2 linked regions of the Bombyx mori genome follow. The protein of the gene in region 2 interacts with the protein of the main gene of each other region in a pairwise test. Links are inferred from orthologs where the notes say so. Each region holds a gene or a part of one and is shown on either strand. Other genes may lie near its edges.

Region 1 (17,478 bases), on a different chromosome or scaffold from region 2:
AGCTCAGACACTAAAATTAATCTATTTATACTATATTTATGACATTTCATAACAATATGTTTCAGATCAGCGACCTCATTGACACAAAATTGACAGTTTTTGTCCGTTGCTAAACGTAGTTTAAACAAATGAGAAGGAATTCTACAATGACCGAATCTTAATCTATTAATGGTGGTAATGAATTGTCTGGAATTAGCTTCTTTAAATTTGTTATACCAAGGTACATGTGGCGGGGTATTCTGTATCTTTGTATACCATTTCCCTTTTTCTTGACTTATAGACCTCCAGTGTTCATACCACAGCGTTTTAACATTTTCCGATATTTTCTGCTGGAAGTCAGTATACGGTACTTTTGTTACATTAGTGTGGTCTTCGTCACATGCACCTCGCACTGCACAGTCTACAGCTTCATTGCCAAAAATACCACAATGAGCAGGTACCCATTTAAATTGGACATTCTTTCCTCTTTCGTTTAAATTTGCCAATATTTCTTTTATTCTATAAATAATATAGTTCATATTAAATCTAAAAAGATCACTTTCTAGTGCTAACAATGAACTTTTGCTATCAGTTAAAATTAAAAAGTCAGAACTATTTACATTATTAATATACAAAAGTGCTGTATAGATAGCGTAGCATTCAGCAGTAAAAATACTGCAGTGACTGTCTAGCTTGAAGCATCTAGATTTCTTCAGTTGTGGATCATAATATGCTGAAGCTACTCTACCTGAACATTTTGATCCATCTGTATATAATTTATAAATATTTATGTTAGATAAATTGTTAATATATTCAAAAAATTCAACTTTAGACCCAATTTTTTGGGAATCTGTTTCTACAGTCATACAGGTAGCCCTTTTCCTCCAAGTGTTGCCATATCTTGTAATCTAACGGATTCAAATCTGGACTGGGGGAGGGCCAGTCTTCGTGCCGGATGAAGTCGATTTCACGCGCCGCCAGCCAGTCTTGTGTGCTCTTCGCTCTATGAGCTGGCGCCGAATCTTGTTGGAATACCCAGTGCCTGTAATTGAACATGGTATGAGAAACAGGTTCCACAAGGTTCGTCAGGACTGTATTTTGATACACAACTGCATTCGTTTTTACACCTTTCTCACAAAAATGTACCTCTGTTAAGCCCCAATAAGAAACTCCCAACCATACCATGAGCGAGGATGGAAAATGACCTCGTTGGACACGCGGAATACGGTTGCTCGCTTCTTCACTACTGTGTGCGTACACCTTATCATGTTGTTTGTTGTAGCTCTGTTCTACGGTAAAAAAAATTTCATCCGAAAAAAGAATTTCCCGATATTTTTTTCCCGCATACCGCTTCAACAAAGCGCGGCATCTCTTCAGTCTCAGGTCCATTAGACGAGCATTCAAACGATGTCCTGTTTTTCTTCGATATGCCCGAAGCCCTAAGTCTTCATTTAACATCCTTTTCACCGTGGTTCTGCTTAACCCCATCTGAAGGGCCAACAGTTTCTGCTTACGTTTGGGATTTCTTTTAATTCGCGCCTTCACAGCTTTTATCACTGCTGGAGTCCTAACAGACCGAGGGCGACCACTTCTTGACCTGTCATCTACACTAGAGTCTTCATTAGTAGTTCTTTTGACGTTCAACAAGTATGTACTTTCATTTATGTTGAATAAAATTTTTTTGATTTGATTTGATTTTGATTTGATTGTATCGTTTGATGTTGATCGTTATATTCAAAATTTTCAGTATGTTAAAAATTTGAATTGGCGCGTAACCGCAACGATGCAACGCAATAACTGCAACACGGTCTTCTTTAAGCGTCCACTCCATATTTAAAAATGAGTAAAATTCTAAAAGTATACATTTTTATTTTCATGAACAATTCGAAATTCGAATTCAATAAACTTTTTTGTGGCCAGCATTCTAAAAGAAAAGTTTTTACTGTGTGACAATACTTATGACCTGACTAGGTATATACATACCTACTTTATGGGTGAAATTTCAATAAAGTTATTCCTTTGTCGAAGCAGTCGCTCGCACATTGAAGTTACACAGAAACATTAGTTGAGGAGTGATCCGCGCCATACTTATGATTTTATTTCGACACTGTCCAGGTAGTGTCCCAGTATACACGTCTGATTGTTGGCTGGATGAAACTATTCTTCACACTTGATTTAACTGAACTGTAGCAACTGGTGCATGTGGTCCAGAGGGGTCGGGCTGGGTGTCGGCGGCCAGCGCGCACTACGTGGATGTGGAGACGGCCGACTGGACCCTCCCTGAGGAGGCCTTCCCTCTGCGCGCCCCTCCGCCGGCCCACCAGCCCTCCATACTCGACACGACGCACGGTAGGTCGCGCACACACACACACGTGTGACGTCACTTTCTCTACAAGTTGTTCGTGGTTGAAGGTCGCACGGCTGCGGGCGGGGCGTCCCCCGGAGGCAGCTCGTCACCGGGGAGCGGCTCGAGCGGCTCCAACGGCTCGGCGTGCACCGCTCCACCGAACTTGGAGCAGACCTCCAGCGCGTACCCCGGCGCCGCCACGGTGAGCTGCGGGCGGTAGCCGCCTACAACTATCTGATACGAAATAGGAGTGGTCGTACTACCGAATACTATTCACATGATAACATTACCATCGTGATCAATAGCAAAATCTATTTTAATGAAGAGTTTAGAATTACGCTAATTAATATGAAGTCATTTAAAAAAAATTAGATGACACATAGGGACAATGACCTCGCGTGCTCATCGGCGACCCCGACGGTTATGATGGAAAAATCAATCTGTCTTTAAATTAGGTCTACTTTTTATTTTTTAAGGTTTGTAGGTAGATATTTTTCATGTCTATATTCTATATATTGACAATGCCAATTTTACTGGTGGTAGGACCTCTTGTGAGTCCGCACGGGTAGGTACCACTACCCTGCCTATTTCTGCCGTGAAGCAGTAATGCGTTTCGGTTTGAAGGGTGGGGCAGCTGTTGTAACTATACTTGAGACCTTAGAACTTATATCTCAAAGTGGGTGGCGCATTTACATTGTAGATGTTTATGGGCTCCAGTAACCACTTAACACCAGGCTGTGGGCTCGTCCAACCATCTAAGCAATAAAAAAAAAAAAAAGATTAGCAAGTTAATCGTTCAACTCCACGTAGACGGACCACCTTGCGTCCTGAGGTCGACGAGGTCAAAGTGTTAATAACATTGCACAGTTGTGTCGCGCACAGCCGGAGGAGGGAGAGTCTGGTCCCCTGTGGGTGGTGCACGAGGCGCTGCGCCCCCACGTGGAGCCGGCGCCGCTGCTGGCGCTGGCGCTGCGCCACCACGCCGACCTCGGCGACGTGCAGACCGCCGCGCTCGTCATGATCGTGCTGCACGAGCACAGGTACCGCCGCGCCGCCGCACTACTGCACTACCTGCTCCGGTAGACCTGGTGCGATGATAGTGGACTCTGTTGCAGGAGCGACTTGTTCCCGTACATAGACGAGGGTCTGCAGGAGCACTGGCTGCTGGGCTACATCGAGTTCTTACAGAAACACAAACTGTGGAATGTCGCCACTGAGGTACCACTCAATGTATTACTTAGTCTGGCCATAAATACTGTTACAATTAAAAATAAACAAAATATTACATTTGAATATACATATTACATTGAGTTTTCTCATTTTGGCGCCAATACATTGTACAATATTTTGCGATATTAAAATGGAGTGGGGTGACAAAGAGAACCGAATCGCTGTGATTGCATTACACAAAGTAGGTATGGAGCCAAATGCAATTTTTAAAACTCTCCATACGCTTGGTATTAGTAAAATGTTGAATGAAATGAACGTTTCGGACTTCATCAGAGCTGAAGACTGGCCGTCGTCTAGTCCTGATCTTAATTCGCTGGATTATGATTTATGGTCAGTTTTAGAGAGTACGGCTTGCTCTAAACGCCATGATAATTTGGAGTCCCTAAAACAATCCGTACGATTGGCAGTGAAAATTTTTTCCATGGAAAGAGTGCGTGCTTCTATTGATAACTGGCCTCAACGTTTAAAGGACTGTATTGCAGCCAATGGAGACCACTTCGAATAAGATTTTTAAACTTTAAATTGTTTTATATTTATGTATTAAACTAACACACTGTAAAAGTAATAAATGTTATTTGCAATAGATTTTTTTTTATTTTTAATTGTAACAGTATTTATGGCAAGACTAAGTATATACTATACAACTCTAATAATAAACAGGCGATATATTTAGCTTTCCCATTCGGCTTCTCGACCGAGTCGTTAAAGTAAAGCTTAAAACATAAATTAATAATTGTGTCTTACAAAAGACTACAAAAATTTGAAATGATTAATAACATGTGTTAAATCCGTTATACGTCCGCACCCAACAGCGACACTGCGGGGGTGCCAACTGTTCATCGTACGATTTATGATCTTTGTGTAGTTACTGGAAATAGTGATGTTGCGTAACACTACCTAGTCTCGTATCTCGAGAGTCCAGGACAGCTGTCCAAGTGATACGACATTGCAGGTGGTGCGGTGCGCCTGGCTGAGCAGCGTGTGGTCGTTGTCCCAGCAGTCCAGCAGCGTCACGGTGTGCTGCGGGCGCTGCGGCCGGCGCGCGCGGCCCCGGGCCATGTGCGACCGCTGCCTGCCCCACCCCGACCTGTGCGCCGTGTGCCGACAGGTAACACTGTCCCCCCGACTCGAGCCCCGTGCTGACAGGTAACACTGTCCCCCGACTCGAGCCCCGTGCTGACAGGTAACACTGTCCCCTCGACTCGAGCCCCGTGCTGACAGGTAACACTGTCCCCCGACTCGAGCCCCGTGCTGACAGGTAACACTGTCCCCCGACTCGAGCCCCGTGCTGACAGGTAACACTGTCCCCCGACTCGAGCCCCGTGCTGACAGGTAACACTGTCCCCCCGACTCGAGCCCCGTGCTGACAGGTAACACTGTTCCCCGACTCGAGCCCCGTGCTGACAGGTAACACTGTCCCCCGACTCGAGCCCCGTGCTGACAGGTAACACTGTCCCCCCGACTCGAGCCCCGTGCTGACAGGTAACACTGTCCCCCGACTCGAGCCCCGTGCTGACAGGTAACACTGTCCCCCGACTCGAGCCCCGTGCTGACAGGTAACACTGTCCCCCCGACTCGAGCCCCGTGCTGAAAGGTAACACTGTCCCCCGACTCGAGCCCCGTGCTGACAGGTAACACTGTCCCCCGACTCGAGCCCCGTGCTGACAGGTAACACTGTCCCCCGACTCGAGCCCCGTGCTGACAGGTAACACTGTCCCCCCGACTCGAGCCCCGTGCTGACAGGTAACACTGTTCCCCGACTCGAGCCCCGTGCTGACAGGTAACACTGTCCCCCGACTCGAGCCCCGTGCTGACAGGTAACACTGTCCCCCGACTCGAGCCCCGTGCTGACAGGTAACACTGTCCCCCCGACTCGAGCCCCGTGCTGACAGGTAACACTGTCCCCCCGACTCGAGCCCCGTGCTGACAGGTAACACTGTCCCCCGACTCGAGCCCCGTGCTGACAGGTAACACTGTCCCCCCGACTCGAGCCCCGTGCTGACAGGTAACACTGTCCCCCCGACTCGAGCCCCGTGCTGACAGGTAACACTGTCCCCCCGACTCGAGCCCCTCTACTCTAACTGTAATTCGGCCCCCGTGGTGCGGCAGGTGGTGCGCGGGCTGTACGCGTGGTGCCAGGGCTGCTCGCACGGCGGCCACTTGGAGCACATGCGCCAGTGGATGGAGAAGCACCAGCTCTGTCCCGCCGGCTGCGGACATCACTGTCAACTAGGCTGAAGTACTCCTTACAGAAAATGTTACTCTACAAAGTTTCTTCCATCATTGTATATCTTAGTTATACATCTTTTATAAAAAGAACATTTTGATAAGAGATTTATTTTGTGTAAAGTAAATACTCTTTTGTAATATTTTTTATTTACATTTAAGCATAGTTTCTGTTAGAATAAAATCTTAAAAATATGTGTTCGTTAAATGTAACCAATCTATTGAGACCAGCAACCTAAACTAGTCCTCGTCTACATTTGTATACATGTGTGCGATCTCACTGGGCGCGAGACCTCTTGTGAGTCCGCGCGGGTAGGTAAGGGCGATACAGCCGTTGTAACTATACTTGAGACCTTAGAACTTGGTGGATGGCGCATATACGTTGTAGATGTCTATGGGCTCCAGTAACCACTTAACACCAGGTGCGTTACTCTAAGCGGGCGATGACGTGCACGCTGAGACATACACCCTCCCCCTGCGACCTCCTCTTTCAAGACGAGCTCACGGCCCCCCTGGTTTTAAGTGGTTACCGGAGCCCATAGACTTCAATAACAAAAAATGAGCACTACCGAAATTGAGACAAGAGTTCTTCAGTCTCAGTTGTATCAGTACAATTATTACAGTACGCACGTAATTACTGCTAACTACATGTGATTTTTTGTCTGTAGTGTATGCAGTACAGCCATCCCTTGTTTAAACAGACTAAAGTTATCTAACTTAAGGCTTCCATTTTAAATTACTATTTTGGGTGGCCGCCCCACTGATATAACTTACAATAATACAATATTATATTGCATACTGAAATAGCTTCTAGTGTCGCGCCGCTGCTCATTATTATATTAATGTAGACAACACTCGATCAACTCGCGCTAAATAAAATTACATTTTAAATTTTATGGGAATTTATTAATATATTTACAGATTGTACAGATGCTATGTTTTTGTATTGAATATATTTTGTGAACAAATAATAAAGAAAACAACGCAACGTATGTAATCATGGTTTTATTTAATAAGTATTCTTATTTACAAACTGTATTTTGAGTGTATCATTGACAACAAGCTGACCACAGTGATATCTTCATCGGCGGTCATAGTGTTAGGCTGTTCAGATTTATGGGAGGTCGGACAGTTAACGTTAGTAGTGGAGGTGCTCGGTGACTTAGTACCGGCCTCCACAGACCCCGCCACTCGCCTCCCCCGGCCGACCCCGGGCGGGCCGCGGGAGGCGAGTCGTGACGTCTGCGCAGTGGCTGGAAATTACTTCCTTTATAAGTTAAACTAAGATATAGAACAGCACGACGGTTTGCATCTACCTGCGTCGTCGGGGGCGGGGTCCTCCTCGGCTGCGAGACCCCTCTTCACTCGTGACATCTGTCGGATAAGGGTCAGGAACGCCTGTCAAGTAATGGCGAGTCAGTTGTCGGACCGGTCAGGTTATAATCGAATTACATGCAGTTAATTTACATTAGAAACTCTTTGTTGACAACCATAAACAAGCAGATAAGCTAAACTTAGCTACAGGGCGTAACGCTCATGTATACAGCTCGAGAAGAACACAGCGAAACGTGTCTAATTTTACACTCTAGATTGAGAAAAGCCTTTTCACCGGAAGGTTGTAACGTCGACTGTACTGTATATAAATGCTCAGTAGCAGCAGACAACAAAAGGTATGTCTGTACAAGTTCTATAGGTACAATGTCTACAGGTAATGTACCAAAACTGGCGGTACTGGAATCGGTTCAGCAGAAGAACTGAAATAATGACTAGTCTGGGCCAATATGCATCAGCCGACATTGTAGGGAAATATAATAATGAAACGGTCGTACGTCCTCACGGCAACCATCCTCAGGACACCGGTGGCTTAGTTGATAAATGACTGCATATTAGCGCTGAAGTGCCTGTGGGACTTAGTTAAGTGGGTCGACACAATACGTGACCTTAGTTCTTAAAAGACATTTTAATTTTAAGCAACCCCCGCACAACAATTGGACTAGCAGTAAAGTCTTGACAAAAATGTATTTTCATCCAAATAAATATAATAATAGACTTACTCTTTAAACTCTAAACTTAAAAAGAACCTGACTTAAATATCAATAAATAAATAAATAATAAATAAATATAAATATTTTACTAACAATCACGCCACGTTAACTGGTCCCGTGATAAGTTCGTAAAGAACTTGTGTTACAGGTACCAGATATCGGAAATAAATGTAAGATTTTTATTATACACATACATATATTTAATATACATCCATAACCCTGGAAAAGACATTTATATTTATCATACAAATATCTTCCCTTGGCGGGATTCGAACCCGCGACCCCCTAGTGTAGTGACCATGTCACTTACCACTACACCAGACGGACGTTATAATAGGACTGCATTCGATTGTCACGCGTCATCTAATCTACTTTAGTTAAATGTCTTCTTGACAATTTTATTCTACAACACCTAGTTAATTAAAAAAATGTTCAAAATCAATTTATTTCAACTATGTTAATGACGGAACACTTTAAATTAATGCTGTTAACACTATTTTGGCAGTAGGTCAGTAACGGTGATTGCTTACCGTCGGGGTAGCCGCATGCGGATGAGAATCGAGATAGGTATCAAAATTTTTTTTCTTTTATTGCCCTTGTAGGCAGACGAGCACACCGCCCACTTGATGGTGAGTGGTTACCGTCGCCCATGGACTTCAGCAATGCCAGGGGCAGAGCCAAGCCGCTGCCTACCGCTTAATACTCTCCACAAGCCTCGTTTGAAGAAGGACATGTTATAGCGCTCGGGAAACACCGTGGAGGTAAGTTTATGCCAAAGCCAGATGGTACGTGGCAAAAAAGATCTCTGGAAACGTACTGTGGATGACCGCAGTGGCTCCAGGTAGTATGGATGAACTCTACTCCGGTGGCGGGCGGTGCGAGGGTAAAAACGAGATGCCGTTATCATCTCGAACAATTCCTCAGAGGCTTCGGTAAAATAATCCGGTCTGAACCGTGTAGGAGACTTCAATGACGATATTCCCGGCCACTGAGGGTCTAGTCAAAAACTTAATTCAGGACGGAATGGGCAACGTCTCGGGTTAAGGTATACCAAGGATTTTGTGTGAAATTACTACAGACCTATACTTGAGTTTCTCACGGGCATTTCGATACCTGAGAATTCTTACATTATATAACCTGACTGGAGACGGAACCTGCGGATTGTACATAGAGGCGACGAATGGAGGACAAGGGATTAATTAACACAAAACGTTTTAAGGGTAAACTATCGAGCACTTTGCCTTTCAAAATGTTTTTTAGATAAAATAACATTTAAAAGTATAATCAATGTCCTCATTGAACAGAGTATAGCTCATGGTGTATCCGCCGATAAAGAGGAGTGGAGGATCTCTTTACCATGGGCAATGTAATCATATAAATCTTGGGTCTTCACAGAATCTAATAATCAACAAACATGTTTAAAAATTTTTGCTATAAAACCATGTCACGCCAAAAAGCATAAGCACATTGAAAAAAGTAGAACGTTTTCGAACAAAAATAGGCAAAAACGCAGGCAGTACTTACCAATAGTGATACCAAATTATCCCACACTTATTTAGACCAAAGGCAAACAGACAACATGCAACAGTCACCTTTTTATATAAATTTTAAATTTATTTGTTTAAGCCCCAAGTAACAAATAACAAAGAAACTCTTATGAAATACCGGATTATATCAATGTTTTTTTTGTTGCAAGATTGTTTAAGCAATTTTTATGGTCCAAATTTTGCGTTGTGTTATCCATTTCTCAATTAATTGTTGTGGCTTCGAACACTAAAGTTTGCGTACGTAGCCAATCGTCATGAAAACTAAGCACGTTGTCACTCAGGTTGTTTTTGTATTACGGTATGCCTTTAATATACTATATAGATAGGAACTGTGATGGGATGAGACATCTGTTCGAAAACATCGTTTCTCTCTCTTTCTCTCTCGCTCACTCTCTAGCAATACAAGGGAAACCACTATTCATCCCTATGTCAATTCATTTACAATTATGGTACAATTTGTCATCACTTTTTTTGGAAATCCAAAATCGAAGTAGTTAACGCTTCCTGTTTGTGTTTATAATGTTTAAAATGTGATTACACTGTCTCATCAGTTTCGTCATTTTAAGTTTAATTATTAATTGACATTAACTTTTCAAATTTCATTCACAAAACATCAATCCTTATACATTAAATAAACGCTAAATGCACAGAGAAACAACACATATATTGCAAATCCTTATATTTCCTTGCATATAATATCGTTTATATCAATCTCGGTGAGAGTTATACATACACTTAAACATATGCATGTGAATATAAAAAATATGAGTTTGTCTCGCAGAGGAGCGCCGATTTGGACGCGGCCGTCTCCACTGACATTAACTTAAACACATATAATATGTCAGTAACAGCGAACCGTGAGCACCTGTGAACACCGCTAGCGTAAGAGGACTATCAGACTTAATGCAGCTAATGTAATACGTATGATTTATAGCTTTAATGTATCCGAACTCATGAGAAATGCAAGATCGACCCACGAAAACCTTCCGAAAACGGAAATTTGGCAGTTGTGGGATGTACAGTGTGGCCCACGGTTTCTGCCATACGACGTTTGAAATGCTACATGAATACATATACCGCAATGCATTACAATAAACAAACAGGATCCAGGAACATTCGAGATCTAAATGAAATGCTCCAGTGACGTCACAGAGTGTCATGCTCTATGAAGTCCGTGGACAGTTGGCGTCTCACATTCGACCAGTTAATGGAAGAGTGTCCGTTCAATCGGCCACCTCTCTGAACATGAACTACTCTGTCTCATCATTTATTCATTTATATCCCATAAAACAAACCTCCCTTCGACAAAAAAATCAGTATTTTATTTTTATTTAAATGAAGCATCTGTTATTTTTTTGTACAGAATGTTGACTTGTCGACAATATTTCTACTAAATCACTTTTTCATCTTGAACTTGATGTAACTTTTTGAACGGACACACCTCAACATCATATTTCAATTATTATTACTCTCAGTAAAAGTTACTATCAGTACAAATATTGGAGGGTAGAAGTTAGAAGCGCCATCTTGTATAGGGGACAACTTGTAAAAGTGTACATCTGTAAACAGCAAATTATTGTTGGAAGACTGAACTAAATAGTGCTAGTGTAGGAAATGGAAAAGATATGAATATCGCAGTTTTAAAAAGATTCAAGTGTGCTGGGTGGAATTGAAGTGTGATGGCGCTGTTTTTAAAATCGTTCCACTTGCTACAGTGGCGCCACCTTCATTGGCTTCCTTTCAGCGAACACTAGTTAATACACTGAGATGGTGCTTCCTCACTTCTATTCAACATACGTACAAAACAGAATTCATTTCACTTTTGACTAATCAAAAAGACTACGTAGTATGTACTCATAATTTCATTGACATTCGCAATTAGCTAGCAACATTCTAAAATTGATGCTTTTGAAAACATCGATCGACGTAGCAAAATCACTAAATATAGGCCCTCAATTTGACAATCGTGCCAGTTTTCGGGACAACCGCTTTAGAGCACGCGCGGTGAGGTCAGCACGAGAGCTTAACACATTCAAATGATGTTTTAATGATAATTATTATAATTTATTGTGACTTTGTTCCTGTAAGTTATATAATAAAATTCGATAAAAAAACGACGTTTAAACATTTATTTTCGAATGTGCTGAAATTCAAAATTATGATTACGCTTGCAGGAATTTCACATTATTTAGTACACGGCCGCGCCCCCCGCTGGCCCGCCCCCGGACCCCACGCCGGGGTGAGCAGTGTCGGATCCGAGGGGACAGTGACGTCACACGCGAATACTAAAAAATGTCTATACTAATAAAATGTCTGCAAGCCCAATCACTTTTAACGTTTAATCTTTAACTTAATAAAACTAGAACTTAAAGTAAGATTGTAGACACTAGAAGACGTACTGATAATAATAGTGCTTACATAGGTACATTTATTGTTTTCAGCAAACAAATTAAATAATCTTAATACTAATTAAGAATTTTTGAGTTTCCGAAATAAATAACACGAAAAATCGATTTATTTTAATCGATACAAAACATGCAAGCACAAGCTTAGACTTTAACAAGAATATTTAATAGAAAATAAAAAAACAAAAACGTCTTGTCGAATACTTACTGATCGAATGGCATCTTCATCCTTTTATTTTAAAGATAATGCAGAGATACCCTAACTTTAGGGTAAAAACAAATATACACCGCAATAAAGTGTACGGCATTGGGAGTATGGGATCGTATAAAAAAGCCAGTTTTTAACATATTCAAATAACAAAGTTCCAAAAGGTGCCACTTTTCATAATTCACTTAAGACGCCATCATGATGCGTGAGTATTCAACAAAACGGCAGCACCGCACACACCGGACATTGTTACACCTACACTTCTTGCATATACAGACAACATTCTAACCTCAAAACACGTGTTCAGTTTCCTTTCTTACTTTTCCCGTCCTATTCCATTAGCTTACAAGTCTTTGATCGGCGGAGCCTATTGTCGAGGACAGACCGGATAACAATTCAGACGCAACCGTGTCATTGACAATGTAAATACACTGGCAACAGACTGTCAGAACTACTTACATATCGAAGTGTGAAAGAATATTTGGTTTAAGCGACATTTCCCTTAATACACGACATTTATCTTCGTAATTAATTAAAGGTCCGTTTTATTTGTTACCTGCGACCCGCCCTCGCTTCGCTTCGGAAACATTACATTTTATTATTATAGCTGAGTTCCGTGATATTACCAGCGGTTATTGTCGTACCGCGGGTGACGCCGCGGGGCGAAGCTAGTCTAAAAAAAAGTAGCCAAAGTACTCCTAATACCACCAGCTACCTATCAGTGAAAGTCTCGTTAAAATCGGTCCAGCCGTTACAGGGATTAACAGGAACAAACAAACAAACAGACAAACAGTCAAAAATTGTAAAAAGTATTATTTTGGTGTATGTACCGGATATATATTCATATGCATATAGTAAAAGCGGTTATTTCAGTATTACAAACAAACACTCCAATTTTATCTATATGTATAGATCAACAAGTCGATGTTTTTAATTGATCTTCAATTGAGTTTACCCCATTTAAATAGCTGAATTTTTTTTTTATATTTTAACCAAATTTTAAAGTTTAAATGTCTCTCCTGTAAAGTTGCAAAAATGTCGCTTAAACCAAATAGCGTTTCAACTTTCACGCCTCGATACATTGTTTAGACGTAGGCATCACTCAACTGCTTTATATCGACGGACGTCATTGCCATTTACAACAATACCGTCCAAACAAGATCTGGACGATATGATACATTACATCGTCGCGATTGATAAGATATTACAGATAATAATTTAGTTTCGATCTCATATAGATTACGGATTGTGTTATTAAGTACCCGATTAAAAATGAATTAGACATTTACAAGAAATATGATAAGTGATAAATAATTTTCTTTTAAGGCAACTTTTCTTTTAATGTATCTATAGAATAACATTTCTAGCTGGGCACTTGTCGCGGTCACCCTACCTGTGGGTGACAGGTATACCTCGCAATACGGAATGAAATAAAAGTATTTAAACCAAAAAATACCATATTACAAAAAACATATTTAAATAGGGCATTTTCATTTTTCTCAATCGATTGCAACTAGTAATTCTGCTATTTTAATCATTCTGTATACGCAGTATTCCCGGGAATACAGCCTAAGCTCCGTGTTTTGTCTAATGTACAGTGAATACTTGTCACGGGTGTATGATTTGTATGTATGTATGTAAGGACTAGCTTTTGCCCGCGACTCCGTCCGCGTGGAATAGTCACTTTGGCATAACGCTACATTTTACTCCCCACTTTATTTACGTAGAAAGTGAAAATATTTTTTAATTATAGAATGTTAAGAAGCTATTTAAACCTCAATTTTGAAACATTTATTGGTGTTCCACTTGTATTGGTCTTATCGTGATGTTATATAGCCTATAGCAGCGGTCGGGGAACTTTTTTAATTATTACCCCAAAATAGTTTTGTGTAAGTTGATATTACCCCATGGCGAAGAACCAAAAAAACGAAATCGCTTCTTTTTAGTATTTTTCATATTATAGTCCCATGATAATTTTGAAAAGAAAATAATCACTAAAAATTTAACGATTCTAAAGAAGTTTTACTGCAATACCTATATACTTTTTACTCACAAAAGTTTCATTTTTACAACCAAAATTTAATTTTACCCCATTTGGGGTAATTTACCCCGGTTCCCCGACCGCTGTCCTATAGCCTTCCTCAATAAATGGGCTATCAAACACTGAAATAATTTTTCAAATCGGACGGAGATTAGCGCGTTCAAACAAACAAACTCTTCAGCTTTATAATATTAAGTATAGATTTACAGGAAAGCCTCAAAATGATGAGAAACAAAACTGAACGCGTGTAGTGAAGCGGCAACACGAGCCTGGCACAAGCGCGTACAGACCCGGACGTTCCAATTTCGTGAAAGTCGAATTTGTGACTTTAACAAACTTCTAGAACTTCCGTTTTTTTTCACGGAGCACGGTCGATTAAGGATTATTTATTTTTAAGAATAAATTAGCGTTAATCCCTACTACTTCTTTATAGTAATAACAATAATAATATTGTTAAATAATCAAAATTAAATGATTTGTATTTCGCTTTAACCAAAGGGCTAGAATATTGATGAGCAGTTGATTATATCGTTAATACAATTATTATCGAAACATGTTATATAAGAAAGATACGCATAGATTTTAATCAGCGCCCAGGGAGGCCGAAGTTGATCGTTATTCTTACGTCCGCAAGTCACAAAATCGTCTATCATTAAGCCCATCATACATCAAGGAAGTCTACAATATGACACATTTGAATTTCTTGCTCTTTTTCCCCTTCCCTCCCTCGCCGTTGGTCGCGCGGCTGTCGTCAGACTTCCGCGAGCGGATCTCCCTCATCAGGTCGAAGAACACCTGCGCGGACACCACCGTCAGCACACGAGACAACACACACCCGCCACCAGGACCATATCATTTTGTTCACAAGGAAATCAAGAATGGCGCATAAACCTTAATACGTGATGGGTGGACGAGCTCACAGCCCACCTGGTGTTCAGTGGTTACTGGAGCCCATAGACATTTACAACGTAAATGCGCCAGCCACCTTGAGATATAAGTTGTAAAATCTCAGTATAGTTACAACGGCTGCCCTACCCTTCAAACCGAAACGCATAGCTGCTTCACGGTAGAAATAGGCAGGGCGGTGGTACCTACCCGCGCGGACTCATAAGAGGTCCTACCACCAGTTTATATGTTACTGTCAATTATATTTTTAAAAAAATCGATTGACTGCAATAGATTTGAGTGTAAAGGTAGTAAAATCTTGAATTAAAGAAGGCAATTAAATCTGTTTATTCAAATACGCGTGCACACGCAGCGCGCACGTCCTAGGGTTGCGCTCCACGAAATGTTTCAATATTTATGTTTATTGTGGTAACAATTTGTAGAAATAAAAAACAGAGCGAGCAACGCGCCTCGACATTTCAGCAAAGCCAAGCAGAGCCACGCGCTCTGTGAAGCGCAACTTAAAACGAACAGTAACAAAAGCTGGTGCAAAGCTCAGGCTTGGCTTTGGTGGAAATGTAAAAGTGTCGATTCGAATGGACACTACCGACACCCGACTAGTGACACGTTCCAATCGACTATTAAAAATTATATACCAAAATATTTTGTAATAACGAGTGAGGCTTATTGTTTTGAGATACATTTTGTCAGATTTATATATTTCAAAGTATTTCATTTAATTAATTAGTAAGTATACGCTGTTGCTGCTTGTACGTCATTTCAACGTCTGTATGTCAAAGGCTCTCCGATGAGCAGCCCTGAGCTCGTCGGCACGTGTACAACAATGTGACAAACTTTGCCTTAGGAGCCGGACAGAAAAGAACATCTCATCTTAATAGATGTGACGCGACGTAATGCCTAACCTTTGAAAGTTGACAAAATATCTCCAAAAACACTTAGCCTTCGTATAATTAGGTACTGTACCGGATTGTGGAGATTGAGGAGCTGGTAACGACAGAACTAGTCTAGGGCACCTGTGAGTACTCACCTCAAGTCAACTTTGTATAATCCTCAAAACTGTGCGTCAGTAGCGGCAGTGGAGCGTGTTGGGGTCCGCGCGGGGCGGTACCCCCGTCCGACTCAATCCTACCTCGAAGCAGTCAAGTGTTCCGTTTCCGAGCCGGCCCGCATAATGGGTGTCGGACGTCACTTCTCTCTCTCTCTCTCACTTACTCACTCACACACACTTCCATGAACTCATCTTTGTTTCACAGTTAGTGACAGCATCGTTGCGACCCCCAGGGTTGCAGTAATCACTTACGAACCCGTCCCTATGCACACCTCGTTACATATTTATCACAATAATTTTCATGACGACAGGCGGATATTAAATATCTTTCACATAATTAATTAATTACAATTGCCTATTTATATTTCTTTAATACACTCTAATCGTAAAGTCGATATAAATAATTAATCGATATATCTTATCGTATGGGACAACCCTAATCCTAGATTAACTGCTTATCAGTCGTTCACCGCTTAATACCTTTTGTATTAACATAATCGTTTTTATTATTTCCATACAATGTGGTTGTGCTCTTGTTTAATACCACAACTTGTTATTAAGAATAAATAATTGAGCCAAGCACACCTAGTACTTCCGTTATCACATGAAGCACGAAATAAAAATCAAACTGTTTAATTCAAATCTATTCTCAGTAACAGAAAACCCTGTTTCTATTTTTCCAAGTTATTCTTCCTAACCGAAACAATTAAAAAGCTTACCTGAACATAAACCGCAATCCATCCAATATTCTGAGTTGTCTGGCAGCCTGCAGAACATGAACTAAGATAATTCCATCTAAATAATTTTGAGAAGAAATGATTACCTTACCAAGGGTATCCTTGACCTGTGGCCTATTTCTCAATGTGGGTTCTGCTGGACTTATAAAGACTCTAAGTACTAGAGCTTAAGGAAGAAGTTACCTTATCGACATTGTCCCTAGTTTTCGCCGAGGTCTCGACGTAGGGCACCTGCCAGTTGTGCGCCCTCTCCCTGCAGGTCTCGAGCGGCACCCGGCGCTTGTCCGCGAGGTCCGACTTGTTCCCGACCAGCAGGAACGGAATGTTGTCATCGTTTTTAACACGAAGGATCTGCTCTCTGTAAAGAAGTGGCAGTATGGTATCTTACTCCTGCCAAAATTCAACTCCCGCAGCCGTAAAGAAAATCACGCCGCTTTTATAGATATTAAAATGATCTTTAGTTCGCAATCACGAGTATAGATCTTCATAGTCAGAATTTTTTGAGTGAAATTCAATTTGTAATGAAAATGAATTCTGGAAGCCAATGATCAATTCTTACATTACCTGAACTCCTGTGTGGCATCGAAGCTCTCAGGCTCAGTGATGGAGAAAACGCAAAGGAAGCCCTCGCCGGATCTAAAGTAGTTGTCCCTGATGGCGGCATAGTCCTCCTGGCCCGCTGTGTCCAGGATATCGATCTGGACTTCCTCTCCATCCAGGACAACCTGGACATTACATAAAATGAATGCGTACGTTATG
Region 2 (17,478 bases):
TTGAGTTAACTTTTACGATATCGAGAATGTTAAAAAACTCGCTCTAAGCGCACAGATGTTAACTTAACTCGGGGATTGTAATTATCGAGCTCACGCCTTTCTCAACCCCAAAGTACAATACTATTTCTAGTCTCGTCCAGGGAAAAACGAATGGAAGCTATGTGTACCCATTAAGTTTCTCGCCGCATCTTCTCGGCGGGTCGCTATTTCGATCCGGTGGTAGATTCAGCGAAGCACTCTTGCTAGGGTTAGTGTTAGAAATTATCTCAGGTTGAAACTGTGAGCTCACCTAACCGTCCGAGCGTCGCTGGAATAGCCCCTAAGGCTACTAACGATTAGGTAGGGGAAAAAATCACTAGTTAATAATACGTTTTAAAAATATAACTATGTATATATTTTATAAGATTTTTCGTAATTTACATTCGCAGGCTGTCGCAGACGCTAGACGCAGACCTTGAAATAGAGAGACCGTAGTGATATAGTGGCATTATTAAAATGCTTGTTAATAATAATGGCTTTCGGTTATTGACAGAGGAGTTGTCTAAGAATTGTGCAGTTCTTTTTTTTTTTTTTTTTTTTTTTATTGCTTAGATGTGTGGACGAGCTCACAGCCCACCTGGTGTTAAGTGGTTACTGGAGCCCATAGACATCTACAACGTAAATGCGCCACACACCTTGAGATATAGTTCTAAAGTCTCAGTATTGTCACAATTCGTTTTGATAGTTGTAAAAGCCCAATCGAGAGCAGTGATGGCGACTACATGCCATTGAAGATTTCTTTGGCAGATTAATGTCTTCGTCATCTTTTCCAAATGGAGTCAAAAGGAAGTATTTTTTTTTTTTTTTTTTTTTTTTATTGCTTAGATGGGTGGACGAGCTCACAGCCCACCTGGTGTTAAGTGGTTACTGGAGCCCATAGACATCCACAACGTAAATGCGCCACCCACCTTGAGATACAAGTTCTAAGGTCTCAAGTATAGTTACAACGGCTGCCCCACCCTTCAAACCGAAACGCATTACTGCTTCACGGCAGAAATAGGCAGGGTGGTGGTACCCACCCGCGCGGACTCACAAGAGGTCCTACCACCAGTAAAAAGTACCGTACAGTACTTGGAAACGATGGTCAAACCTGTGCTTTATAAAGCATAAGTCGTTGTCCATGCGTGAAGTACCGCTTTGTTCTGTTAAGTGAACCCAACTTTTTAATTAGACATCTTAGATTTACCTGTGATTATATGTGATTAAAATAAACATTGCCACGGTCTCACACTTGTGAAACACTTCGAAACTTACCTATAATATTCAATTTACATTGTATATTAGCAAGAACCACGTAAATAGATTACTTCTTTATTATTATAAAATAACGATCTCTGTTATCACGACTTTTATCGAGTGGACCGTTTTATTTTCATTGAATCGTTGCTCTATTTAGTTTTATTTGTGGAATATGACTCAAGCTACACACTAAAAATAGTACAGCGAAATGGTAACGTTAATTTTCTTGAAACTCATTTTATAATTCACGCTTCGTGGCGTAAATAAAGGTAGAACTCGTTTTCGAATAACACTACCGATTTCCTTATGGACGACTATAAATAATTACGGTTCAATTACATATTTACAACCTATTTAGTCTTCTGTTTATGTAGTAATAAATGACAAAATCTAAATTGACCAGGTTTAGAAAACATAGGTACAACAACGGTAGGTAAGGGCTTAAAGACGCTGCCTCTGACATCGCTCATGGACGCATGAGAGATGGTAACCACTCACCATCAGGTGCTGGTCTGCCTACTAGTGCCTACACGGGCTACAAAAGGAAAACAATAGACATGATGTAAATAATTACTTACAATGATTAACCTCACTTTTATTTCATCCAGCAGTTTACAGCCCTCTAATTAACGTGAAACAGAAATGTCAAAAATGAAATGAAGCAAATGCCATGTTCCTCGGTACGTTTGTGAGGCTTCAGAATTTTAGAAATGTAATGCTGTGACCTTCTTGAAGTTCATCGATCCGTAGTAGTAAGAAGAAAATAAAAAGAGATTATTTTTTTTCCTAACTAGCCTAACAAATTCTTCCAAATAACCTCATTTTTTCTTAAAACCGTCGCATCACTTGCGCCCGCAACAGAATTGCTTACTATCTACGGGTTCTTATGATCATGCTTTCCACGTACCGACTGGATCAGAAATGAACTCCTTTTTTTGTGTACAAGAAAGAATAATCTCTCTCTCCGCGTTATTTTCTGATCGCTAAGAAATGTCCTCTTCCAGCCGATCCTTTCGAAGGATTTCTCAAGGGTAGGCAGTGGCTTAGCTGCGCATTGCTAGTATGTTGGGGAATTTCACGTTTTGGTCCGTTGAGTGGCTTAACTGCTCTTCCAAAACAACTGAATTGTGAATTCGACTTAATTTATTAATGTACGTGGATAAATTCACATTACGGTGTTTACTAGATCCGGGTTTGCGCATAAATTCAGTTTATTTCACTTTATTAAAGCTTATATCAACTAGGTATATTAAAAGTCGTTAATAAAAATCGCAACGACGTTTTGCACGGATTACCAATATTTAATCAAGGCTGTGTCGATAGTGACCATAAGTATGGTAAGCTTTACTAGCAGGACATTATGATATATTTATTAATATTAATCTATTAATCTTTGTTAACCTATGACCACAAATAAAAAAAAAATAAAAAAAAAATAAAAAAAGGATTTTACATGCCATACAAAAAGTGTAACACGTACTTTTTACGCTAAAAATTAATCGAATTAATAAAGGCGCGATTAAAAAGTAAGTACAATTATTTTTTAATTAAAATAATAACTATATTGCGGTTGGTACCTACAACACATGTGGATTTCGTTATCATGTAAAATTAATAGTATTTTCCTTGAACCGGTGTCCTCACAATGATATACAGCTAATATTAGAAATATAACACAGTAATTGTGTGGTGAGTATTATTAGAGAAGAAATAAAGCGATAAACAAATCCAGTGTCGCCTTGAAAGCGGCAATAAACGCGGGATGTTGGTACCCGTGTTCTTGCGCACTCACAATACGAACAAGCATATGTAATTACGCAAATTTACTTTTAAATTTTGCGAATTTCATTTTTATTACACAATATCGGTTCATTGTGTTCGGTCGTTAACAGACGTTACCAGCGTATTTATTGAGAAACATTGTTTTCTTCTTGCAGATTTCAAACAATAGCATAGTTGCATTGCTTGACAGATAGGTATATTAAAAAAAATATATATGTGAAGTTTTTATTAAATTACTAGATGAACCCCGCGATGTTATCCGCGTTTATTGTCGTACTGCCGGTGAAGCCGCGGGGCGAAGCTAGTCTAAAAAAAGTAGCATAAGTTACTCCTTGAATCATCAGCTACCTATTAGTGAAGGTCTCGTCAAAATCGGTCCAGCCGTTTCAGAGATTAGGCGGAACAAACAGACAGACAGACAGACAGACAGTTTTAGTGTATGTACCGTATATATATTCATATGCATGTAGTGAAAAATGGTTATTTCAATATTACAAACAGACACTTCAATTTTATTTATATGTATAGATATAATTTTGAATTCGAATTATATTGTCATGGCGACAAAATTGAACAAGATGGCGATACCTACTTGCCAGCCATTATTAATCACTGCCACCAGTAAAAAGTCATAGATAACACATATTATAGGTTATTAAATTTATAGTGAGAATTGAAGAGATTTAGGGGTAACAACCGAAAAATGTCGAAATAAATCAAACTCAATAAAAATGATGCAGCACTTTCATTGTGTTTGTAGAACAATAAATACTAACAACAAGGACTTCCCGGTTGTCAATCATTACGTATCGAATTGTCGATAAACATTAAATTTATAATTGATTAAATTCTAATCTTTGTAATAATTTCGTAGCCTTGAAAATAAATTTTACTTCTGTGTTCGTTGGGCCAAGAGTGTTATGCAAAATAGATTTTCAGTTTGAGCACCTCAGGCTTGAGTCCCGTGAGCTCACCTACTGGTTAGATTACGCTGGCATAGTCTCTCAATGCTACCAGCTTAGATAGAAAAAAAAAGCAGTTCTGGTGTTATCGTTTTGATTACGTAAAGTTCAGTTTGAGACCCGTACGTATTAGGAGCTGTTTAAAAAGAAATTGTTCATGATTTTCTGGTGGTAGGACGTGTTTTTAGTCCGTACTGGGAGGTACCACCATCCGCCTATTTCTGCCGTGAAGCAGTAATGCGTTTTGGTTTAAAGGATGGAGTAGCCGTTGTAGGTACTGTAAAAATTAAGATTTTGGTGAGCTCAAGGTGAGCGTTATAATTTACTTTGTTAATGTCTATGGACTACGGAAACCACTTAACACCAGACCGTGAGCTCGTCTACACATCTAAGCGATAAAAAAAAATCTTTTGTTTTTTTTTTTTTAAATCGTTTGTGTGGTATACGCGAGTCATAGACATAATTACAACCACGTTTAAGATTTAATTCGCGATTTTATTGTCATTATCTTATTTCCGACATTTCGAATACTTTAGTTTTCGGGGTCACGGACGATTGACGACACCGCAGTCTGATTATATTATGTATATATTTAATAATGTACGTTATTTACTACGTAACAGCGTTTAAAAATGAATCAATTTGTAAATAGACAATCAAATAAAAACAGGTTGTAAAATAATATAGGAATTAATAAAACCGATTCTTTTTAATCAACACTTATCATTCGCCTACGCCCTCTATCTATCTATCGGTGATGTCATGAATGTACATTTTGTTCGGATAATTATTACGCAACTAAGTTTGACACTTAATAATTTCTGAAAGATTTTATATTTTTGCTGCGATCCGATTTTGCTAACATATTATGGCGTTTAAGAACGCACCTTTTTATGATGCGTAAGTCGGAACGCACGAGAGGGGAAAAAAGAAGATAGTCTGGACCTTTTTACCGCCGAAAATTTAAACGGACAAAAAAATAATAATGTGTATAACTTAGAACTCCTATTGTGTCAACTGTGGTGTTAATTATATACAATATGGACTCCCTCAATATTTTTTTGATATGTTCAATTCAAAAAAAAAAAAAAAAACGGAGCTAGTCCACGTTTTGCCTTCGTCAGATAAACAAAGAATTAGTTCATAACTGGTTTTATTACTAATTTACATTTGTTACATGGAATAGAAGTGCATAAATAAACTTAAAACTAGTTCGAGACTCGAAGATTTTATGATTTAGACAGAATCTCTTTCATCGCGAGCTCTATCTTCAGCTGGATGCACGCGACCCTCTCTTGAAAGATCTGGTTGATCAAATTCAGTCTTTTCTGCTCGAGCAAAGCGTTTTCTTTCATCAGCCTCTGTTTTAACTCTTGCTCGTCGACGCTGGAGTTTTCTTTGGCATCTTTGTTATTCTGTAGGTTGCATTCCTGTTTGTTCTTCAGAGCGACGTAGCTCCTCAGCTTGACAATCTCGAATTGTTCCGAATTGATCTTCGCTTGCAACAACGACTTCAGTTGCAGGTATTCAGCGTTCTCTAATTCGAGACGCAGCACTTTGAGTTCTTTCTCGGTGAGTTTCGGTTTATCTTGGACGGGTTCCGTAGCTTGTGTCTCATCTGTGGTCGTTTTTTTGTCCGGCTTGAAGTCGAAGTTGTCTTCGAATTCCGCCTCGAAGGTCGCGTCTTGGTCGAGCGGCGATTCCTTGGGCTCGAACGCGTCGATTGGCCTCTCGACTTCGCGGACTGGCCTCTCGACTTCGCGGACTGGCCTCTCGACTTCGCGGACTGGCCTCTCGACTTCGCGGCCTGGCCTTTCGACTTCGCGGACCGGCTTCTCGGCTTCGGTCGGCTGCGAGCACACTCGCGTAGTCTCCTCGTCCGGTTGCTTCTCGTCTACGGATGATTGCTGCGTGGGCACCGCGTTAGGCTCCGTTGACTTTTGTACCGAACGAAGTTTACGCTGTAACGAAACATCAATGATCGATAATAACTATTAGTCAATCATTCTATAAAATTCAAATTTTACTGGTGGTAAGAGTTCTTGTGAGTCTATTCTGTCCCCGTCTGTTACTGCCGTGAAGCAGTAATGCATTTCGGCTTGAAGGGTGGGGCAGCCGTGGTAACTATACGGAGACCTTAGAACTTATATCCCAAGGTGGGTGGCGCATATACGTTGTAGATGTCTATGGGCTCCAGTAACCATTTAACACCAGGTGGGCTGTGAGCTCGTCCACCCATCTAAGCAATAAATAAATAAAAAACGAGTGTGAATTCAAATAACTCTTGAGGCGTATTCATTAGACGTACTACGGGTTCTAACATTACCTTGAGTTGTGTTACAATTCGCTGCGCCTCCCATAGTTGTTGATCTCTGGCGGCCGTTATGAAGCCGGCGTGCATCTCCGCGTGGATCTGACTGAGAAGAGATTCTTGTTTCCGCAGCTCCGCGCTCATCTCGGCGGCGGAGTCGGGGAAGTCGGCCGGCAGCGAGTGGAGAGGCGGCACGTATCTGTCACGAATACAACGAAATGAAATACGTACTTAACTAATGTGAACACGATTGACTTCCACAGTGTACGAATACCATCGTCTTCTCGCATTAAAACTGTATAATCTCAAAATAAAGAATAAAGAACGAGTATATCAGAGGAAGTGTGAAAGTGGCCCCGGTAAGCAACAAATTAGGGAGCGGACGGTTTGCGTGGTATGAACATGTGATGCGTAGAGAGAAGATGCATGTGACTAGTAGATGTATGGAAATGGTAGTGCAAGGTAGAGGGGAAGAGGTCGACCGAAGAAGACATGGATGGAGTGTGTGAATGACGATATGAGAGAGAGAGAGAGGAGTGAGTGTTGAGATGACGGCTTATAGAAGAGAATGGAAGAGAAAAATTAGCTGTGCCGACCACACCTAGTGGGATAGGGTGGAGAAAAAGAAGAATCTCAAAACTTACTAATTTTACAGGAGAATGTTTTAAAGGTTTAACATGTGATATTTTTAATATTAAACATATTTGCAACATTTATTTTTTATATTTTTTCCAATTACATTATCTGTCTTTTAAAGTAAGATAAAATTATGTATTAATTTTGTCAATAGTAGCCAAAATAAAGGTAAACAAAAAAAAAACGAAACTACGCTCTTTTGACAGTATTTATGAGAAAAATACTGGTGACACCAAATGATTCCGCATATTAACTCAATTTCGAATAATTTTGGAAATTGTACACTTTTTATGCGAAAAGACGATCTTAGAACTCATATCTCAAGGTGGGTGGCAGCATTTACGTTGTAGATGTCTATGGGCTCCTAGCCTCTGAGAACAGCGAGGCGATTGTGTTTCGTATCGCGAAATATTTATTGGAGACCGAAACATCAATTTATTGACATTAATCGCGCGCCATCTGTCCTAAGCTGAATGGCAGGATAAAGCCAAGAGACAAACGTTTTTTTTATTTTTATAAATACACTAGCCGTACTCGCCCGCTTCGCTAGGCATTTAAAATTAACATTATTATTTATTGTCATTATCATTAGGGAGTCCAACACTCATATAAACATTAGCCTATCCATTAAGTACATGTATTTTCTACATGGATACCAAGTTTCAAGTCAATCGGATGCACGGTTCAGTAGTTATAACGGAACATTCGTAAAAACCACAGTAGATTTATATATTAGTATATAGATTACAGTTTAATAACTTACTTCGTGAGTCGGACGTTAGGGAACAGTTTTTCCGATTTCGTTACGAGGTAAGTCAGCAGATTGAGTGACATATTCAAAGCCGCTCCCATAGCTGCCATTATCGTTTGTATGTTCGCTTGATTCACCTGTGAATATTAAATTTATTATATTTGGATTTTTTTTTATTGTCCTTGAAGGCAGAAGTACACATGGCCCATCTGGTACAATGGTTACCGTCGCCCATGGACTCCAGCAATAGCAGGGGCAAAGCCAATCTGTTGCCTACCGATAGCATTGAATCTTGTTATGTTATCTAACTGTATGTATTTACAATCACTGGTAAGGACCATTCGAGGTCTTTAAGGAATAAAATGCCGTAATGACGTATACTAAAACTATACATTTGGTTAGATTGTGAAATTAATATTTTTTTTATTGATTGTAGGGGTAGTGGTCTATTTCCTTTTCGCTAAATGGTATGGTTTTTTGACACCCTACATTTTTTATCTTGACATAGATTAAATCAGTTGGACCGTAAGCTTGTTTGTTCATCTATAGCCGTAAAATACTTTTTTGGATGACTAATGATTGAAATTCGACCATAATAATCACTTATTATGGTCGAATTTCAAAATTAAGATTCACTTTTAAGTATCACATTTTCTCTTTTTCTATAACTTTTTATTGATAATACTTAATAGCTAACAGACAAAAGAAAATACTAACTAGCTGATTTATTTTCTTTTATATTATACAGATTCTTTGAACGACTGATTCACAAACTATAGCCAAAGTTGAGATTCCAAGTAAAGACGAATTCCTATGGAAAATATGTTTGAATAAGATCTGAGAGAGATCTGACCTTATCGCTCTATAATGTAGAAATGTATGCACTACCATACCAATGCCTCAAGGTAAGGCTGTTATATCGCCACAAACCCAAAAGATACGAATTAATATTTACATGGCTAATTTACAACAGAACATACAAAAAAAGGAAAAAACAAATTTGGAAATATCGTATCCGATCCGACTTTATCGGTTAGTTAGAAGAACAAAAGTGCCAAATGCAAGTAGAGTAAAAAAATAATAATATGCGTAATTACTGGTGGTAGGACCTCTTGTGAGTCCGCATGGGTAGGTACCACCACCCTGCCTATTTCTGCCGTGAAGCAGTAATGCGTTTCGGTTTGAAGGGTGGGACAGCCGTTGTAACTATACTGAGACCTTAGAACTTATCTCAATGTGGATGGCGCATTTACGTTATAGATGTCTATGGGCTCCGGTAACCACTAAACATCAGGTGGGCTGTGAGATCGTCCAATGATCTAAGAAAAAGGAAAAAAAGTAACAAACCTGCTCATTGGAGACAACGTGTTGGAAATGTCTCATCAGCCAAGCCAGCAGATTGTGGTTACAGTTCGGCAGCTTATTGATGAGGTTCGTCATCGTCGCTTCTCGCTGAGGTTCGGCTATAGCGGTGGCTTGTTCGAACTGACCGTGCAGCTCTTGTGTTAGTATCGATTCCGGGAGTTCACTGCGATGTGGAGATTCGTATATATAATCGTACATTAAATCGTTACATTGATAAACAGTCAAACTTTTATTTGTGACGAAATAGCGTCAGATTTTAATTACCTATAACTATTATACTAATTATATGTGAACAATTATTGAGATCGCAACGAATTTGTCATGTTTCTACGAATCTTAGCACAGTCATAATTATTTACGTGACGTTTTTATTATTTTAATAAATGAATTGTGTAAAGACATTTAGATAATTTATTAATTTTGATATTATAATTAAGAGATTGGTAGTAGTGGGGCGTATAGGGAGGCTTCCGCATGGGCGTTACTATTATCGTGCTTATCTTGGCTACTAAATAGTTTTCTTCTTCTTTACAATTTGGCTCCGGCACGGTTTGTGCATTAGCCGGCATCAAGTAATAAGTTTTTTATAATTCGCCGTTTTAATTATTTACAGTTTTGAATACTAAAAAACGATGGAAACCCAAATTAATCACCTCAGATGAAATTAAATGAAATGAGATGAGATGATATGATATGGGATGAAATATAATCTCAGTAAAATGGTGATTATTTACTGAGACTTTTCCAGTCGAGTTTTGGGAGGATCCCGAGAAGCTACGTCCTTTCACAAATATTAAACAGTTAAAAAACCACCGTTATTACACATTTAAACCTGAAGATACACTAAATAGACAAAATAAAACAATTCACACAACTTCGCTCTTCGCGTTTCCGCCAAAAAGTCTGCTTAATAGTCGAGCTGTTATTCAATTCAATAGAGACCTTAACCTCCTTAAAGTGGGTGGCGCCATTCACAGTAAGACGTCTATTGTTTCCGTTTATTGTAGCGTTCAGGCAATTAATAAATAGAGTATATTGTTATCGAATACTCTGCCGATAGGTAGTACCATATATGCCAAGTGCCAAGTCATGTTGAGAGACATGCCGAGTTTCACGATACCATTTCGAGGTGACAGACGAGACTATCATAGTTTGAACAGACGTTTGCCAGTTGGAATATTAAAAAGTATTAGGGTTCATTACCTGATGAAAGCTTTGAGCATAGCGCAAGCGACAGGAACGTCCCAGTGATACGGGAATGTAGGCCCTCGATCCGTGAACAGTTTCCTCAGTTGTTGAAACTTTATCTTATCCGGTTCGGTCCGGTATATATCTTTCGATTTTAATCCGTGTGCCTAGAATATAAATATCATATTTTTGATGATTTAATCCTATTTAACATGTAGTCGTAGCTAGAGCTAGAGAATAGATAATCCGCCAAAATCCTGAAATGCGCTAACGACATTTTCAAGTTCCGAAAAAGAAGATGTAGTCGTCAGTATTTTTTCTTTCCTTATAATTCAAAGTGCGAACCATATCATATATTAACTATCTTTTTTTTTATCTACCTAAGCTGATGGTCTAGAGAGATCATAACAGCGTCACCGGGCTGGTAGGTGAACACATGGGGCTCAAACCTGACGATGTTGCTAACATTTTAGAGGAAATTTCGAATGTCGTTTATAAGCATCTTATTTGGCCCAAATATTTCTCTTCCTTATATAAATTATGAGTGCAGAATTATTCATTACAGATTTAGAAAGTAGACTATATATAATAGAACACCATCATATATTAAAAACATTTTTAATAGCAACCATCATGATTTGTAACTACGATAAGATTGTTTTATTATACGTTGAATTCACGAAGCGTATCTTATACCTTTAAACGAGCAATTCTTGTATTCTATATAATCTGAATCTCGGAAACGGCTTCAACGATTTTCATAACATTTAGTATACAGGGGATTTCGGGGGCGATAAATCGATCTAGCTACGATTTATTTTTAGAAAATGTTGTTTTATTCGTGTTTTCAATAATCAACTTTATCGATAATCAACTTTATGACTCTTCCTGATGTCTATTGGCGAATAATAATACTATTTTTCTTAATTGAGAGAAACTAACTGCTTTAAAGACACAATAACACTAAAGCTATTTCAGCAGATAGCGTTGTTAAGTCACCCGAAGCCAATGAGTGTTTGGTTTAAGGTTAGACCAAGAAAATGAATTGTTCATTTATATTATTTGTGTCTTTTTAACTCACGTGGTCACTTAAAAATGCCTAAACGTTCTTGGAATATTTCATTATTTTATCAATATGTAATTCGTGTTTAAATACAATTTCTAAAAAAATACAATTTATCAAAAAAAAAAAAATACGGTCATCGTCTAGTGTAAATTATGAGTGCAAAATTATTTATCAAAGATTTAGAAAGTTGACTATACAATAGAACACCATCACATAATACATTTAAAAAAAACTATTAAAAACATTTTTAGTAGCAATCGTCGTGATTTGTAACTACGATAAGATTGTTTTATTGGACGTTGGATTCACGAAGCGTATACATATTAGGTATACCTGTAAGTAATCGATGCTGTCTCGGACGACCAGCGGTAGACCGGTGTCGTCATGGCAACGAGAGCGCTCCACAGACTGTTGCAGTGGTACACCGAATATAGGGAGCGCAACTGAAAAAAAAATGACGACTTTTTTTTGCTTATATGGGTGGACGAGCAGCCGTTGTAACTATACTTGAGACCTTAGAACTTATATCTCAAGGTGGGTGGCGCATTTACGTTGTTGATGTCTATGGGCTCCAGTAACCAAAATTACGTTGAAAGTTTCCGTTGCATAGACAAAATACCCCATCCTCACGGATCGTTTGGAACCTCTGGGTCTGCGGAGGAACTTCGGTTCCCTCTGTATTTTGTACCGTATGTTCCATGGGGAGTGCTCTGCGGAGTTGTTCGAGATGATACCGGCATCTCGTTTTTACCATCGCACCGCCCGCCACCGGAGTAGAGTTCATCCATACTACCTGGAGCCACTGCGGTCATCCACAGTGCGTTACCAGAGGTCTTTTTTGCCACGTACCATCCGGCTATGGAATGAGCTCCCCTCCACGGTGTTTCCCGAGCGCTATGACATGTCCTTCTTCAAACGAGGCTTGTGGAGAGTATTAAGCGGTAGGCAGCGGCTTGGCTCTGCCCCTGGCACATTGCTGAAGTCCACAGGCGACGGTAACCACTCACCATCGGGTGGGCCGTATGCTCGTCTGCCTACAAGGGCAATAAAAAAAAAACAAGTCAAGCTAATAAAAGCGCAATTATAGGATACCTATTATTTCCAAGGTAAAACAATCTATGTAACTTTGTGTAAATAAACTACTTTTACGATAAGAATGGAAAACTTTTATCTCCGAATTTGTGCATCTTAATATTCTTTATGTATTTTACTTATTATACAACATAACATAAGCTGGCTGAAATGTTGACTAAACAAGAATTAATTCGTACAACATTTGTCGTACTAAGCTCGTCGTAAAACCATTAAAAACAAAAACAGAAAGAAAAACATATGTTATTCAAGTAAATTAAAATGTTTTCTTTCATATATCCCAAAACATCTCAGCAGAAATAGTTAAATAACTTTACATCGGCGAATGAACTAAATTTATGATAATTTTTAATAATACCTAAAACAAAATACTCAATTATGTCGATCGATATCAGATAATATAGTGTACGAACTAAATAATCTTATCAATTCATTAAGCTCACTAAGAGTAGCTAGTATACACAGAAGTAGTATACATAGTAGTAATAATACATAGAAATGTTACGCTTACCGTCTAATAAAAATCCGTTGGCAAAAGGATTCATTGTTTCGACGGTAATGTTAATAAAACAAAATAATAAAACGAAACATCGTCATTACTGAACGCGAAAGCAAAATAGACTAACTAAATAAAAAAAAAAAAAAAGGTTACAGCGTTTACTAAACACTATGGAACAATTTAAATTTTATTCTGCGTTATCGTACACGCCCTCAAATTATTTGCACAGATAATACATTATCAGAGTTGTATGAAACGTTTTTTGGTATGTATAATAGTTTTTCTCTCACTCTCATGTTTGACTTTGTAAGTGTTAGTTTGAAAAATTGCACGTTTTTATGCAAAATTTTATTTTATTTATAACTTCTTACACTAGAAAGTATAAAGGCGGACTTAATGCCATAGGCATTCTCTAACAGTCCACCTTAGGGGAGTGCAGAGATGAAGCTTGGTAGGTGTAGTGTGAAGGTGATATTATATATTTATATGTATATGATATATTATAAATTTTCGTTGTACTAAAGACTTGCAAACTGCGGCTTCAGCATGCCAAATCGTGATGGTGCAAAATTGATTAATTAATTTAATAAACACAATAAAAAATATGCTTTTTAATAAACGCCATTTTTCTAAAATTGAATAGAGAGCATGTGTATATGAAATAAGTTCGCACTTAGTTATTTTTATCTCCATTCGGTCATAATTTTGTATGGGAAAATAAAAATGAATCAAGTCATAATGTTCGAAATAAATCATTGATATTGACTACTAAAGTTCATAGTTAATTTCAATAATGCCGAAAAAAAAAACCACCACCCTGCCTATTTCTGCCGTGAAGCAGTAATGCGTTTCCGTTTGAAGGGTGCAGCAGCCGTTGTAACTATACCGAGACCTTAGAACTCATATCTCAAAGATGGGTGGCGGCATTTACGTTGTTGATGTCTATGGGCTCCAATAACTACTTAACACCCGGTGGGCTGTGAGCTCGTCCATCTATCTAAGCAATAAAAACGAAAACAATTTTTTTACGAATATTCATTGTTCTCAAACATAAGCACGAACTAACGATAGGTCATTAGTGAAACATGGAGTAGACGAGGAAAAACATGCTTCAAAATTTTTCCGACATCCGATAAGACAAAGTATTTTTGTATTTTTTACCCTGATTGACGTCCAAAAAAGAGTAATAAAAATATATTTTTTTCAAAAAGATTCTTGTTTACACTCAATAGAACATTCTAGTATTATTGATTTTGTTATGATATTTGTTTCATTAGTAATCATAAAAAACTAAAATAGATATCTATTTGCGTGGCTAATAACTCAATGTGACATGTTCTATGCCGATTTATGCGGTCCAAGTCTTTAGATTAGTGCCACGCATATGTCAGAAATAGGCAAGATGGCGGTACCTACCCGTGCAAATTTCCACCCAAAAAACCAGCAGAAATTGGTATAACGATTAGAAATAATCATTGCCATTAAAATTACCGATCTCACTTGATACAATATTTTAACCAAACAAGCCAACATATTTTATTACGATAGATTAATATTTAGTGTTCTCAGCAAAAGTATAATCGCAACACCATTCGTGCAGGCGTTACGAATTGCGTACATTGAACGACTGTAAACGTTTCGAATCGCGTTACCGTGAAACGACTTCTCATAATGGAACCTACAATGGTACGTTTAAACATAATTTACAAAGGTTTTTTTATTGGAACTGCTCCGTTTTGAAATAGTTATTTATGCAACAAGAGAGCAAAGTTGTTTTTTGTTTCGAGTGCAGAATGCTTAGTGCGAGTTTTTTAACGTTCTCGATAGCGTAAAAGTTAACTCATATTTGTATGGACCCATTCCATAGTTTGCCTACGTTTGCCGCTAGGAGCGCTGTTCCAACTGCATAAAAAATTGGGCTAACCTTTACGCTATCGAGAACTTTAAAAAACTCGCGCTAAGCACACTGATTTTGAGTCCCGAGCAAGCGAAGGATTCTATGACTGATTCACGAGCATAGCGAGTGATTCAAAATTAGAATCCTAAGCGTAGTGAGAGATTCAACAGGACGAGATGCAAAAAACTTTGCTCTCGTGTAGCACACATAACTTTTCACTTCAGCAGTGAGAACACATATTATTTAAGAGATATATAGAAATGAACAGGAATAGATTGAAATAACTATTAAAAAAAAAACGCAATTTCTTTATTACAAACTTCGATCAACAATAGTAACTAGATTTCGGGTCGGTGCATAAAATCCGTCTCGTCAAATAACAGCGCACTTGAAATGTGAGCTCTTATTTTGTTTAGTTCACTTCAAACACAGCCAATTTCAACCCGTCTCACAATACCGCAGTGTGTATTCAAAAGTTGCAAAAATAAGGCCCGAAAAAGCAATTTAACGGCCGGAGTATCTTACTTTCGGTAAGTACATGAAGTATAAACTATATTGTAAGCTTTAAACTTATAAATAATATTAAATTTTGAACAAAATTACCGATTTTTAACCACCGCTACAAATGTTGGCCAAGGCTCGGCCAACACATGGACAAACTTTTGCTTAACAGAACAGTAAATGCATGGAGTAGATTTGTGTTGTAATAATTTTTTAAAATTTGTTAGCAGCACTTCAAAATTAGTTGGTTAAAATTGGTTAATGCTGCTTTTGTGTCTGTTTGTTGGACTCTCATTAGATACTTAGCTTTCCATTTTTATTTTAGCTTTCCTAGCAATCACGTGTGCAGAATGGATCTCGATTGTCGCCAGAGAAACAAGAGATGACTTTTATAAGCCAGCTAAGAACTCCGCTTATTGACACTGGACATCTTTGCCTTCCGTGCTCACGGCTACTGAAATGTGGCCGAAACATTGTAATAAAAATACCACGCTTGAAACCGTTTAAACGTTGTTTTATTATGTGCACTGGTCGCGAAAACTTAAAAATATATATTATACAAAAACGTAACGCTAATAAAATAATAAGTAATGTATAGATACTAACAAACATACATTTCCAAAACATAAAAAGTAAACAACTAAACTTTTACTTTAATTCATTAATAAATTATTTTAGTGTTAAGCGCGACTCCCTTACCTCCTGTAGTAAATAGAAATCGGCATTTCAAGAAGCAAAAATAAATAAAGCAAAACGATGTTAGTTCTCAGAGCAATTAAGGGAAAAGTTACTTTATTTGTTGCACTTTAAGATTGATTTAACATTAAAAGTTGTTTAAAATATGTCTTTTTATTGGTAAGTGACAGGAGTAATTTATTGCTTTGCTCGTTTTATGTGACGAATGATCGTAAGTATTAGATAATGTTTTGGAGATTTGTGACTTTATTACTAAGTGCCATAGTTGTTATTAGTTTGAAAGTAAAAGTGTTTCAAAACTTTTTTCTCCGTTTGTTAGTAAACGAATGTAGCTATATAAGTATATATTCACGCGGACAGTTTTTGCTTTAATTTTGTACGTATCCCTTTATCTAGTTACTATTGTTGATCGAAGATTACAAATATAGGGTATTACGCGTTTCCGAACGTGTTTTTTTTGTGGTCGAATTCCAAAATTGAATTTCGAAGGGGTTTGTTTTTTCACTCGCTTTTTTATATGCATGTGACAGAGACAGAGCACAGTAAAATTCAAATGTTTGAAATTCATGGTTGAACAATGTCAATTCGTGGCACTAAAGATTGAAAAATTAAAGAGCTACTTTGACCCACGCTCGAAACAAAATCGCGTTTTGTTCACTTTTGTCTCGAAGCAAAAGCGGTATGTTTGAGCCGCTGAGGTGAAAATATTATTTACTAGTTGTTACCACCTAACCTTCGTTAAATGAAAATGTTAGAGTAGTTTACCGTGGGAATTAATGCTTTTCGGAATAAAGAATAGTTAGTATATGGTACTCTCATAAGTCTCACAAATAAACTCGCTTAAAAAAAGACATGTCATTCCATTATTCAACGTGAAAGAAGGACAAACAAATACACAAACACACTTTCACATTTAGTTTAGAACAAAAAGGTTCCTACCTCCCAATGTGAAAATTTCTTCAAAAGGAACACCTGATGTCACCGTTGACTGTATTTTCGTCAATTTCTTGTCTTTTTTATCTTTGTCTTTTTCCTTCACCTTTTCTTTCTCTTTCTCTTTGGACTTTTCCTTATCTTTGTCCTTTACCTTTTCTTTTTTCTCGTCCTTAAGTTTTTCTCTAGATTCAAATTTGAATTTGGCCTTCTCTTCTTTTTCCTGGAAAATTAAATCATTTCTCTTTGTATGTCTCTTTCGTGTCGCGATTGTTACTAACAAATGTTTGAAGATTTATTCTTCATTGTTGGTACGTATGAAATAAAGCTATACGCATATATTATGGTTCTACTTTCGCTATTAATTTCATTTAATTGATGCCGCTGCGAACATGCAAGCGAAGATAATATCTGTTACTTCAGTTGTATTGTATTGATTCGTCTTTATTTAACCTACCACTTTTTATTATTAATTAAGTTATAAATAAAAAAAACAAGACCATAAACTAGGGATAGTCTAT

Evidence for each region.
Region 1: the proteins of ralA-binding protein 1 (region 2) and ras-related protein Ral-a interact in a two-hybrid assay, tested with the Drosophila melanogaster proteins (6 studies listed by BioGRID). The link is inferred for Bombyx mori from reciprocal best matches to the Drosophila melanogaster genes Rlip and Rala.

Annotation. Positions count from the first base shown.
Region 1 is NC_085114.1:15,867,582-15,885,059, reverse strand, and holds the end of ras-related protein Ral-a, read right to left. Parts: intron 17,445-17,478; coding exon 17,284-17,444; intron 17,078-17,283; coding exon 16,903-17,077; intron 16,749-16,902; coding exon of another isoform or gene 16,698-16,748; exon of another isoform or gene 14,824-16,697; coding exon of another isoform or gene 14,707-14,823; exon of another isoform or gene 10,037-14,706; intron 7,181-10,036; coding exon 7,064-7,180; 3' UTR 6,773-7,063; downstream 1-6,772. Other genes in the region: GATOR2 complex protein WDR24, read left to right, coding at 2,170-2,328, 2,392-2,528, 3,194-3,366, 3,442-3,544, 4,509-4,664, 5,666-5,794.
Region 2 is NC_085113.1:5,981,234-5,998,711, forward strand, and holds the end of ralA-binding protein 1, read right to left. Parts: intron 17,181-17,478; coding exon 16,964-17,180; intron 15,837-16,963; exon of another isoform or gene 15,654-15,836; intron 15,358-15,653; exon of another isoform or gene 13,712-15,357; intron 11,783-13,711; coding exon 11,673-11,782; intron 10,441-11,672; coding exon 10,289-10,440; intron 9,249-10,288; coding exon 9,068-9,248; intron 7,858-9,067; coding exon 7,733-7,857; intron 6,533-7,732; coding exon 6,349-6,532; intron 5,984-6,348; coding exon 5,252-5,983; 3' UTR 5,159-5,251; downstream 1-5,158. UniProt on the Drosophila melanogaster protein: Participates in receptor endocytosis during interphase, is also involved in mitotic processes when endocytosis is switched off.